Linked DNA regions of Neodiprion lecontei. The protein of the gene in region 1 purifies or fractionates together with the protein of each later gene. This does not show direct contact. Links are inferred from orthologs where the notes say so. Each region holds a gene or a part of one and is shown on either strand. Other genes may lie near its edges. The genes, in order: activin receptor type-1 and protein 60A.

Region 1 (7,166 bases):
TAAATCTGTGGGATAAAGTTTATACTCAGCTACAATTAGGTTTCTCTCTGTCAGCTACACACAGTACTTTAATGACAAAAATTTATTTCGTGTTGGTAAGCCTGCAACTGTGTTGGGTTTAAAATGACAACCGTATGGCACTTGAATGTAGAAAGCCTTGTAGCCATCAAACGGAGTAACGAGAAGAACTTAAGAACTGTCAGTTACTGTTTATAACCTCAGTAATACAATATATGAAGCAATATAATGCAATGTTCTCCGTAATTTTATTCATTGATTAATAATCACCTATCCATCTTTTATTTTCCATTTTTTGAATAGCTTATAATTAACATATCTCTCATCTGTAATTCGAAACGTATTTTTTTTTGTTACACACCCTGGTGATACTTCAACATGGATTATGTTTTCATATCAATAATTGTTCAAGTAATAAATAGGTATATTATAAGCCCATCGACATTCTACGTTTCTTCCAATTATGAGTGCATTATTCCTTATCTGCAAGTAAATATCAATTTTGGCGTTCTATAAAAGATTTCACTTTCTGTTGCACTGCGTTAAAAAGATTTCGTCAAGTTTCCCGTTTTAGACGCTCGTGTATTTTTCCAATAGTTTCATCCAATTCTTCTCTTACCATTGGTGTCATTGAGAGAAAATTGCTCAGCTTCGTCTCCATGTCCATCTCGTACCCGTTCGATTTACGATAATTCGCATCCTCGAAACTCGTATTTCTTCGTCAATCTCGGTCGCTACAGCTGATTTCAGACGCACTGCGCAGACATGTTGCGCATATGCAGTGCGCACACACAATGCGCACACCGGAAGTGCTCTAATCCTAGGGGAAATCGCAAATTGAATAATTATTTAATATCAATTAAAATATTAACTCTCTAACAGTTTTTTTCTACTCTCAAATCCTCTCAAACGATTCTCAAACGATGAAAAAGAAAAATTAAACGTCTAAGTCCATTTTTTGAGGAGATAGAAAATATGGGGGCCAACTTCACACCCAAAATTAAAATCAATTTTCCGGAAAACCTACTAACTCTCAAACGATTTTTCTGTACTCTCAAACCCTCTCAAACGATTCTCAAACGAATTGCATTAATTAGATTTAAAAATAACAACTTCGGGGGGCCAACTTCACGGAGGTGAAACCACCGGCATTCATTCCGCATGAACCTACCATTACTTCATCGATAACCGCATCAGATTATTATTGAAAACAGAATAAATCATGATATAGCTACGTCTTTTGTAAAATAATAACTAACTCAAATTTTTTTCACAAACAATACTCTTGCCGAATTGAGTTGCGCGTGCAGGGAAGGACGCAGAGGGCGCTTGATAATGAATTTATCTTGTCCATTTTCGATTACGAGAAGTCCTATGAGGCTAGCAGTCTTTATATATCTTCAGTCAACGCGACAATGAGTGGAACTCGATATTTTTTGGTAGTATCTGAGTCACGGTCTTACATACAGGTCTTGCAACGAACGTGGTGGGGGGTAGTCAGTTCACGTCCGAAACAAAAGTACAACTTATGGCCACAAGAGCGACGCTACGAGTTATTCATAAGCTTATTATTATTCTTTGGCGGAACCCTAACCAATCTTTTTGATACTTGTACACAGATAACCTTACGTTGGTAATGTCAGTCATATGTCCTATGAATAACTGACAGCGCTGCGTAGTGGTCAGTAGTGGCAAAAAAATTTGGACAAAACGCGGCTATCCCCACCACTCAAATTTCAGTTCGTTGCAAGACCTGTATGTAAGACCGTGATCTGAGACAAGTAGTTTATTGTTTTGACGCGCACAGACATGGCGGATGTTATATTTATCACGCATTTTGTGCTTTTGTTGACGTTCAAATTATGTCCAGGTACGAGCCTTAATGCACGCATACAGGATTATTCTACTTTGTGTTTACCGAAGAAAATTTTTTAAGGATACGAGCATCAGCTGAGTAACGCAATATTAATAGCCCTTATCAGTGCCACAAACGGCAACGAAATGACTAAATTTCTTCTTTTACATCTCGCTCAAAAAAGGGGTAGTTCATGTGTTAACGGAAGAAATACGAACAGTGCCGTAAGAGATTCAACGGCTGTTTTCACGAAATTTTAAAACAATTATGATTTTCCGAGTACGAACTTGGCGTGCATAATTTTGCATCCCTATGTCAGTGTGTATCAAATTATTTCATGTCGTTTTGGATTTAACAGGAGAAAAACAAAGTATAGGATTGAGGGAGGTTGACGTTTCCATGGACAATGAAGAACCACCTGATCCTCTTGAACCGATAGATCGTCAGATTACGGGCGGTATTTCAACCCAAAAACGTTACAAGTGCCTCTCTTGTGATCCTCCAGATTGTTCGTCTGAAGAAACCTGCAACGATGCAATCACAGTAGGTTCAAAACCTTTCCAGAGAGATTTTTCTACATATCATTTATCACTTGCACTAGTTTTATTAAATCATTCATTTATTTGTTATTAATCAGCTAGATCCAGTTTTCTTCTCTCTCAATTTCAGTTTTGTACCAATAAGACAGAATCAACCACATAACTTTTCATTACATAAATGGATTCAAGTTGACTATTGAGTAAAAATAATACCTGCGCTGCTTGTTATCATTCATGTCATTAAAATATTTATTTTTCCAACAAGTAACTGGTCTACTCAGTTTTAGGAAGACAATATCTATTAGTTCAATAAAGATAGCTTCAGCGCTCACTCCATTTTTGATTTATGTCAATATGAATACCGTTTGAAATGCAATTTTTCAACGCACAGCTGGAACTGAAAGCAAATTTAATAAAGTAGTAGAAGCTTTTCAAAGTTCAGAGTTCTTGCTTTGTCTTCAGTGCAATTTTCCTATATCATCTTATAAATTCAAATTGCATTTATATTTTTCGTACAATCAGATCTGATGCGGATAAATCATACATTAAATTTAAAATAGTGTCAATTGAAGTGAAACTTCGTACAGTGATGAAACCATACAGTATTTTTACAATAAAAGATTATCGTTCATCATGTGTATAAATTGGAAGAAACATATGGCTGATTTGTTAAGTGATCATCTGAGCCTTAACACACAAAAGTGGTAGTGTAATACCAATTTAATTTTCTTCCCCATCAGTGCTGGAAGTCCAAAGTGCAGGAAGCAGATGGGACACAGCAACTGAGTAGAGGGTGTACCATAAAACCTGAACAGATGCCGCTGATATGTAGCAAACAACAACCAGTTGGAAATGGTAGTGGAAAAAAGAGACAAGCAAGCAGTTCAACTAGAGGTGGACAATTCAGCGTTGTATGCTGCCAGGGTGATTTATGTAATAACGGACCTTTTCCTGACCTGCCCTCGCACTATTCCCCGGAGCAATCGAACGGTGAATAGAAGTTGAAAGATAGAAGAAAAATAAATATAAATTATTGACGTTTCATTCATACTGAAGTTCATGAAAATTTGATGGTTTAGCTATAACAATAGTTTTTCCTTTACAGGAGTGGAAGATTATGCACTAAAACTGACTCTGGCAATCCTGGGTCCGATGGTTGGACTTGGAGTAGTCGGAAGCGGCATACTCGCTTGTATACTCATTCGTAGGACACGTCGCAAGCGCCCATTGGTCCCTCGACGAAACAAACTTCTAGTTGACTCAGAACTAGAGCCTTCCTCACTTCATTTTTCCTCATCTCCCTCCACAACTTCCACCTATCATACGCATGAGCTCAGAGCAACTGCTGCTGGTGATAGCACCCTCAAGGTATCAAATTGTAATCATTAGCAGGCCAGATGTGATATTTCGATGACATCACGTTTGGCCTGAGTACTGCAGTATATTTGCAAATACGTAAAATTACTTGCAAATTAGTGAAATCATTGGCAAGTGCATACTTATTGGTATAATCATTGTGATTTGTTTATCTACTAAACAGGAATATCTGGATGGACGGAGTCTGACTAGCGGTTCAGGATCAGGATTACCATTACTTGTTCAACGTACACTAGCAAAACAGGTAGCATTAGTTGAATGCTTGGGAAGTGGAAGTGGTGGAGGTGGCGGATTTGGTGGCGAAGTATGGCGTGGTGTCTGGCACGGGGAGTGCGTAGCTGTAAAAATATACTTCTCAAGAGATGAAGCCGCATGGACTCGTGAAACGGAGGTATATTCTAGACTTTTACCATCACGTCACGACAATATTCTCGGATATGTCGGCACCGATATGACAAGCAGAGGAAGCTGCACTCAATTGTGGCTAGTGACACACTACCATCCACTTGGCTCTCTTTATAATCATTTAAATCGTTCGCCCCATCCCCTGACACACCACCAAACGCTGAACATCTGCCTGAGTGTGGCAAACGGACTACTTTATTTACACACTGAAATTAATGGAACCCGAGGAAAACCAGCAATGTCGCACCGCGACTTGAAAACCAAAAATATACTTGTCAAAGCAAATGGTGCCTGCGCAATATCAGATTTCGCACTTGCTGTAACTCAGGAACGTCTCACCATGGATCGAGTTGATCTTCGTCAAGGTACCAAGCGGTACATGAGTCCAGAAGTCCTCGATCAAACGTATGCACAATGTTATGTTTGTTGAGTTTTTACATCTTAACTTTTATCTTAACTCAAATCTAACAAGATACTATTAAATTTCTGATTACAGAATAAACATAGAGTGTTTAGAGAGTTTTCGTCGTGCAGATATTTACAGTTTAGCACTGGTTATGTGGGAGGTAAGTCGGAGATGCGTGAGTAGTGGTGTGGCTTTGGATTATGCTGCTCCTTATTCTGAGTGGCTTTCGGGTAGCAACCAAGAACCCTCTTTTGAAGAAATGCGAAAATTGGTGTCGCTGAATCAGCGAAGACCACCTCTTCCAAACCGATGGCACTCAGATCCTGTAAGTTTGTTTATATAATGTATTTTTATTGACTGCAATAGAAAAACAAAATCAATTTACTACATTCATGTTGTTTCTTAGACTCTCGCTGGAATGGGAAAATTGATTCGCGAGTGTTGGCATGGGAAACCTGCTGCACGTCTCCCGGTACTCAGAGTGAAGAAAACGCTTGTGAAGCTGGCATCAAATGACCCTCATGTTCATTTGCCCCTAGACTGACTGGTAACTTCACCTACCAGTTCTCACACACGTATTTATTATTACTATAATTTCATCAAATCATCATTTTATTCATGTCAAATTTTTTCAACCAGTATGAAACTTTGTGTCATTACCTCTGAGAGTATAGAAAATATCGTCTGTCCACATATTAAGGCGATGCTTGCAAGTCTTCTAGTACTATCTCATGAATTTTATTTCACATTACATCATTGAACCGCAGTTAAAACTATCAGTACAGCTACTCAGAAATAGCATCAATTAGAATCTTAAGTTTGTGATGTAATAATGTATAAATCATGTCTATAAATCAGTTACAAGCTGCTGCAACGTTATGGAAGAATTTTTTAACTGTACGTAGTTGCGAAAGACAAGCTTAAGGTTTCCAACCAGAGCTATACCTTGGTTCCAGCTAAGAAAACAGTATGAATGAAACTAGTTGTGAGATAGATGTCTGCTGAGAATGACCTGTTTCTTCAAATGTCACTGGGTCTGCTGTGCGTAATCAATTTCAGGGTGGCCACTCATCTGGAAAACCTGGAAAAATGGGATATATTAGAGGATTTTGTTTTTTCAAATATTATTGATGATTTAAATTGGAAGATTGTCAATTTTCTTGTCTGCTATATGCGCTCGAGTTTTTGGTTTATCTTTTGAATTCCTGCACTTGATCAATTATTATGATTTATCTGTATAGATCAGAATGATGATACGCATACAACATGTATGCTGCAGACCAAAACTTTGACGTTCTATTAATGAAGTAAATATTTACTTCAAACATTTTCGAAAATACAGGAAAAGTGTTTCCAAATGCGATAAACCCAAGCAAGAAGTCAGAGGAAAAGCGTAATTTCGGTCAGGGAAACAGAATTTCCAAATTCAAATTGTGTGACCACCCTGAGTTTTCACAGCTACTTGGAAGTCAATAATAAACTTGCACGATGAAGAACGAATTTTTCGAACATCATTCAGTTGCTGTTCAATATAGTTATTCTGTAAAATTGCCATAGCTTGTACCTGAATTTGAATTCGTCAATACAAACGCATTTTGTAGGTACTCTTTGTATGTACAAATTGATTTCACGTAGGTAATCAATGAAAGGCAGTCCGAACGTTTTTCGGACAGTCTTTAACTGTATTTTATATGTTACCTTGTGGTTGTTTTTATATTTTTATTGCTACAACACGTGTACATAATGCCCTATTGTTGTGCGCATCACTTACATAGTTTATATTATTGGAAACGTCGATGATCTATTGAGAGTCGTTGTAAATAGTATCTTTGTATTAATATTAACTTTTATTATGTTTATCATAAAAAAATGTACGAAAATAAGTAATATACAAGTATATAATGTGTAATCGAATAATTAGCGAATTTCCCATTTTCATCAACAACACATGTCAAAATATGAGGCATTCATTTAATTGCGCTAATTCCGTAATTTTTTGACGTGGTAAAGCGTTATTTTCCACAAACAATTACTTCTAATTCAGATACCGGAAAACACTTATATGGCATGATATGTTATTCTCATATTCTTGTAATACCTAATTGTTCTAAATGATTCAAGTTTATAGCGTTAACTGTCAAACTCAATTGACATGGAGTCAGTTTCTTTTATTTGAGCGGGAAGTGCTAATACCACATTTAGAAAATCTGAACTTTGGGTACGCACAGACATTTCGAGGAAATGATTAAGCATTGCCAAATTACCTTTGGTACCGTACAATATTTGTATAATCAGATACCTCCACATGAGTGGCTCTGTTTCTGAATGCCCTCTTAACAAGAGTGGTAAGAGTTCGGTTATATGAGCCCAGTCATGTCTCATTAGGCATTTTCTCATTTCAGTGGCTATTAAGGCATGAGAAAATCCTGACGAAGCCACTTTCTTTGTCTTACGATTGCGCCTGTTGTGCATTTTACTACTACAACAATGAAACTTAGTTCTGTCATCTATGCTGTTTAAAATCTTTCTGTGCTTCTTCGCAGCTTGACTCTCCTGCCTGGATCTA
Region 2 (5,264 bases), on another chromosome or scaffold:
TACAAGAGACATGCGAGTTGGGAATTGTTGGTTGGCGCAGACTTTGCGGCACCGTTTTTGCGCGCAAGCAGGCGCGCTGCCGCTGAGGAAAATCGGTGACTCCGAGTATCGTTAATCAAGATTTAATAACGATCACCCCAAGGCAAGGCGAACGTGCAGCACCTTGCAGAGCAGTTACGTCGATTTCTCGCATATGTACGAAACGTTCGTTCAAATATGCCGAATACACGCATGCATATACGCGACATGGAATTCCATACGTATGTAATACTCGTAGTCGGGAATTTGCCCGCGGGCTTTTCTCCAGCTCTCGTGCATACTTACGTGTATAAGTGCGTAGGTACGTATGTATATACGTACATACTTGTTTATCTTATTAGTTATTTCTTACACGTGAACAGACGGTGCTCCCTGCTTTACCTCGTGCCTCCCTACCTGCCTCTCCGCGCCTCTCTTTTCTCCGTTCTCATCCTCCTGCCCCTCTCCTCTCGCTCTTTCTCTCTCTCCTCCGCGAGCCTCCTCTTCGGCAGGAGAATCTTCTCATCCCGTATTACCTAGCATCCACGTCGGTGTCGACTCGACAGGGCCGTACAATTATTGTTTTTTACAATGTTATCACGGTGTTTGAACACCGACGACAGCTAGTACAGCCCGCGTTTCTCGTAATATCGTTCAAATCAATATTTTCGCGATTTACATTCAATTTGCCGCTTCCGGCGATCATTAGAACGGTTCAGTAATCCAAAGCAATCACGGTTTTAGACCCCATAGCAAGTTTTCCAACGATTTAAATGATGACTCAATAAATCATTTCATAATTAATAATGAAACGTTACTTATGTATTTTATCGAGTCCGCTTTTTTCACATACACACACTTTGGCTACATCAGTCTAATTAGTTGTCCCCGTCAGTAAAAATGTTCTTCATTCAACGATCGGTGGTAGCAGCCTTCTTTAGATCTACCGTTCTGGTAAAAAATACATATCAATTTTTACACGATGATTCATAAGAGACTGAATAAACATCAATTATCTATATATTGTCCCAATTCAGCATCAAATATTTGAAAAATTGCATTTGTATGCGTTCTTCATGAAAAGAATATTATATTTCACTACATTTCCGCTATTACGGCATACGCTACTGTACTTCTGGTATAAACAAGTTACGAGATGGAATTCGAAGAAGTTGTCAGCTTTATAACTGATCAGTGCCATTTGATGGCTTCAATTATAACCGCCGTTTTTGTGCCATTCTGCACGATGTCTTGAATTTTTGATCGAACCCCGGCATATCCCGTACCGCAATAAATACTTTCACCCAAACATTACTCTCTCTATCTTTCGCTCTCCGTCCTGCTCTTCGAGAAACGGTCCTACACCAATAACAACAACAACAACAACATCAACAACAAAACACGCGTAAATATGCAACCAGAAACATGTTCAAAATAATCTTAAAGCTCTCTTTTTAGCTCTAATTGCTCTGATTTGCGCTAAACGTTATTCATAATGAAACAGTAAACAGAAACCCAGATAGAAACCGTTCAAATTTATGCGGAAATATAAGCGTACGAAAATTTGAACTTTAAGATGAGCGGTGTAAAAGTAGATTAGGAAGCAGGTCTGAACTATGCTAAAAAAAAGGAGAGGAAAAACACCGATGTCCAAAATGTAGCGTCAAGACATAAAAATGGTGTTTCAGAAGCGCGCGTGTTTCAGCTATAATCAAATTTGATTAGTATTCTACATTTCGGAGAATATGATATTTGAATATACACGCGTAATAATTAACTCTGAGCGAACCGGAATCTGCGTTCAGGAAAAATCAGAAAGCTTCCAGAAGCATAATTTGGCGTGATTTGAAAGGACATGATCAACGTGCAAGCACCTCGGGTGTCAAAAATTAGTTAAATCTTGGTCTTCCAGCGTCGGATACTGAAGAAAAATGGTCCTATAAAAACCGACCTGATTGCGAATGTCAACGAATGACAAACACGTTCAATATTTGAAAAATTCAACACGTCTTTTGTCTTTTTCGTCAGTTTCTGTGATTCATTTTCGTTCGCTTGAGACCGAAGTCGGGTTCCAGGGTAGCTGCAACGCCATTGAGCATTAGGCGTAGGGGGAACCCCTCCTCTTATTCCGTCCCTGAGCCTGAGGCCTTGCGAGAAGTTATACGGAGAGGCAGGTTGGCGATCGGGCCAGACAAGCAGACTGGCACTAGCATTGCCTGCGGAGTGATCACGAGGAATTAAATGGTGAACGAACGAACGAGGAAACGCTGCACCACTGCTTTCGCTCTGTACGGGAAAAAGAGACGCGTGAAATTAAGTAAATAAATACGTGCAAGTGAGAGTTGGAAAAATTGTTTATAGTATAACAAGTTCGATAAAAGCGAAAGGCGAAAAATCATTGAGAAACAAAGCGAATCAACGGGGATAAAACGACAGTAAAACGGACCGGATAAAGATAAACATAAACATCAACGGCACGTTTCCCGCAGTGCATAAGAGAAGAGAGAGAAAAATATCGAGTGATAATACTGATTAGCGGTGTGACAATTGGCGGGAGAAATTCAAATTCCGGCGCAGGGCGCAACTCTGCCGAGGGAGTCGACCTTGTTTCTTCATACGAGATCGAAGATGCTCCGTTTTGGTAAATTGTCAATCGTCGCGTTGTACTCGTCGTTGTTGTTGTTGTTCTTCACCGAAATCGGCGACTCGGAGGGACGTCTGAGCGGACTTTACGTCGACAATGGTCTCGACCAGACGGTTATACATCGGGTAGTTACGCAGCGCGAAAGACAGGAAGTTGAACACGAGATATTGAACCTCTTGGGGCTACCCGATCGGCCCAGAGGACTCGGTGGACATCCGCCACAGGTGAAACGATCGGCGCCCAAGTTTCTCCTCGACATATACAGGAACACCCTCGGCGAGGGGGAGGATCAGGACTTGTCGTCTACCGTAAAACCCGAAGGAGACCGCGGGCACTTTGATCTCAGCGGACAAGACCTCAGAGCAATTGACCAGAGCGATGTTATAATGAGCTTTGCTGCGCACAGTGAGTATAAGAAAAAAAAAAAAAAAACAGGAACAGCGGCAAAATTTGGCAGGAAGGAAATTTTTTTTTTTTTTTTGTCAATCAATTCGCGTCAAAGCCCTTGTTTAATTTTAAATTCAAAATTACTTGTATTTCCCGCCGCGTTTCTGTGTTTTCCTACAATCAGTTTCAACGATTTGTCGATTTGATTAGTCAGTCAATTGCACCCGATATTAAAATCGGAATACTGAAAGTGTTTTACGTATATTAGGGGATGTTTCAACAATCGAAAATCAACGCGAGAAAAACAAAAACTGGGAAAATTATTATATATAGAAGAAAGTTGCGTTACTTCAGAATCGTTACAACGCAGATTGCACATGATGATGGGTCTGGTCATTGAGTGATTTGAACACGGTCTAAGTTACATTAATTTCCTGTCAGTCGAAACATCGTTGAACTTGAATACATGATTGACCAAATTCGAATATAACAACATTAAACTAACTAGTTTGTTCCTATGGGATTTTTGAGATAGTTTAACAATATTGTAGACATAAAAAGTAGCGTTTCTTCGTTTCGAAATTGTTCGACAGCCCCGTTAATTTGACGTGTTCATTAGGTTACGCCGTACACGTCGAGTAAGTGTATTTAAATCATGCAGATGCTCACGGCCCTGATAAATACGCAATCATGGACGTACATCATACATAACACTCCTGTGACATTTCGTTAGCGAGAAATACGAATTTGCATATTTTTAACACCAAACTCTCCGGCTGCCTTGTTCGACTCTCGGCAATATTTAATAAACAGATTTCTACTTAATGTTCAGATTTTTCTGTAAACTTCATTCCATGCGAAAAGAAGTATTCACCAATTTATGATAATCTGGCGAGACGAGAATGATGGGAAAGATCGTCGTCCAGTACCTACGTTTAAAAAATGTCAGCGCGTGATGGCCATGTTTGTCAATTTTTTTTTCTCTCCGTCTTCACATTCCTATCTGTCTCTCTCTCTCTCTCTCTTTCTGTCTCTTTTCGCGTCACCGAGTAAGAATTTATAATTGACATTCCGCGTGATGCGCTGAAACATCGTTTCTCCTCGAAATCAGTAAAAAGCTTTTGAATCTTGTTTGCAAAATTTCTGCCCTATGATTTGTACGCATTGAGAAATTCGATATCTTCCAGAAATCAATGAAGACAGAAAGTAAAATGTTATAGAAATATATAGTTCATTTAATATAGATTAACAGGATATTTTTCACCATTATACTTTACACGCACACTGCACGTAGTCACGTTCCCTATCATGAGCTAGGCATGAAAATTTTCAAACGATAAAATAGTGACGAGTCAAAAGTATTTCTCACGTTTGGTATAACAGCAATCTTAGAAACGGTTTAATTCGACGTATTCACGTGTTTGTTACAATTTGTTATACCTGAGCGTAGAATAACGCCGGAAGGGAATTCTGACCACTATCAGCAGCAGCGGAATAATAATAGTATTTCATCTAACACCGTAGGTGCCTCGAAAGTAGGTCCTGAAAAATAATCACCATGCAATCTTGTGCCTTATACCTATACTCGATGCATTGACAATAATTTCCCAATGAATTATGCAACATGAACTGGAAGTCTGACGTCGAGTTGATCGTAGCTTGTAAATATATCGGACAGTTTATTACGCATCGTTTCTTACTTTTTGTAACTCCTCTTGTTTTTTCACCGCTCTCGTGCCTCCTACTAATAATAGATTTCTGAGACAATGAGCAGCGATATAACTTTCAGTAATCGAGTCGTCCCGGCCGGGTGGTCCGAATATTTTGTAAATGACGGCAAAGACGGGGGAGTTGAAACGCTTGTTTTTAACATGCGGCATCGAACAATTCCGAGGAGGGTGAGGGTCGATGGGGCCTCGAGGGAGGTTTCTTACCTGGGCCCTGTACGGCCCTCGGTCCCCTGCGGTCCCTCCCGCTGTCCTACTTAGAATTTAGATTATATTGACTCATCTTGTCTTGTGAGAAAGACGAACGGAGAGAGGAAAAGGAGAGAAAAAAAGAAGAGAAACAGGCTACCAAGATTAACGGGAAAATGCTGCCGGAGCATCTTAAAACAATCCTCGCGTTATACGCTGCACGAAATTGGTAGATGTGTGTATTATGTGGGTACGGTGCTTGATAGTAACGCTCCTGCATCGCTATCCCATCGGCTGTA

The links.
Region 2: the proteins of activin receptor type-1 (region 1) and protein 60A purify together in Drosophila melanogaster (affinity purification with western blotting, with the first as the bait; 3 studies listed by BioGRID). This does not show direct contact. The link is inferred for Neodiprion lecontei from reciprocal best matches to the Drosophila melanogaster genes sax and gbb.

Annotation. Positions count from the first base shown.
Region 1 is NC_060262.1:35,382,952-35,390,117, reverse strand, and holds activin receptor type-1, read left to right. Parts: upstream 1-1,751; 5' UTR 1,752-1,827; coding exon 1,828-1,888; intron 1,889-1,905; exon of another isoform or gene 1,906-1,972; intron 1,973-2,231; coding exon 2,232-2,416; intron 2,417-3,152; coding exon 3,153-3,402; intron 3,403-3,517; coding exon 3,518-3,780; intron 3,781-3,952; coding exon 3,953-4,599; intron 4,600-4,690; coding exon 4,691-4,925; intron 4,926-5,006; coding exon 5,007-5,144; 3' UTR 5,145-5,655; coding exon of another isoform or gene 5,656-5,681; 3' UTR 5,682-6,504; downstream 6,505-7,166. Other genes in the region: uncharacterized protein LOC107224729, read right to left, coding at 6,731-7,166.
Region 2 is NC_060261.1:30,142,895-30,148,158, forward strand, and holds the start of protein 60A, read left to right. Parts: upstream 1-2,095; 5' UTR 2,096-2,646; coding exon 2,647-3,067; intron 3,068-5,264. UniProt on the Drosophila melanogaster protein: Required for the growth of imaginal tissues and for patterning of the adult wing.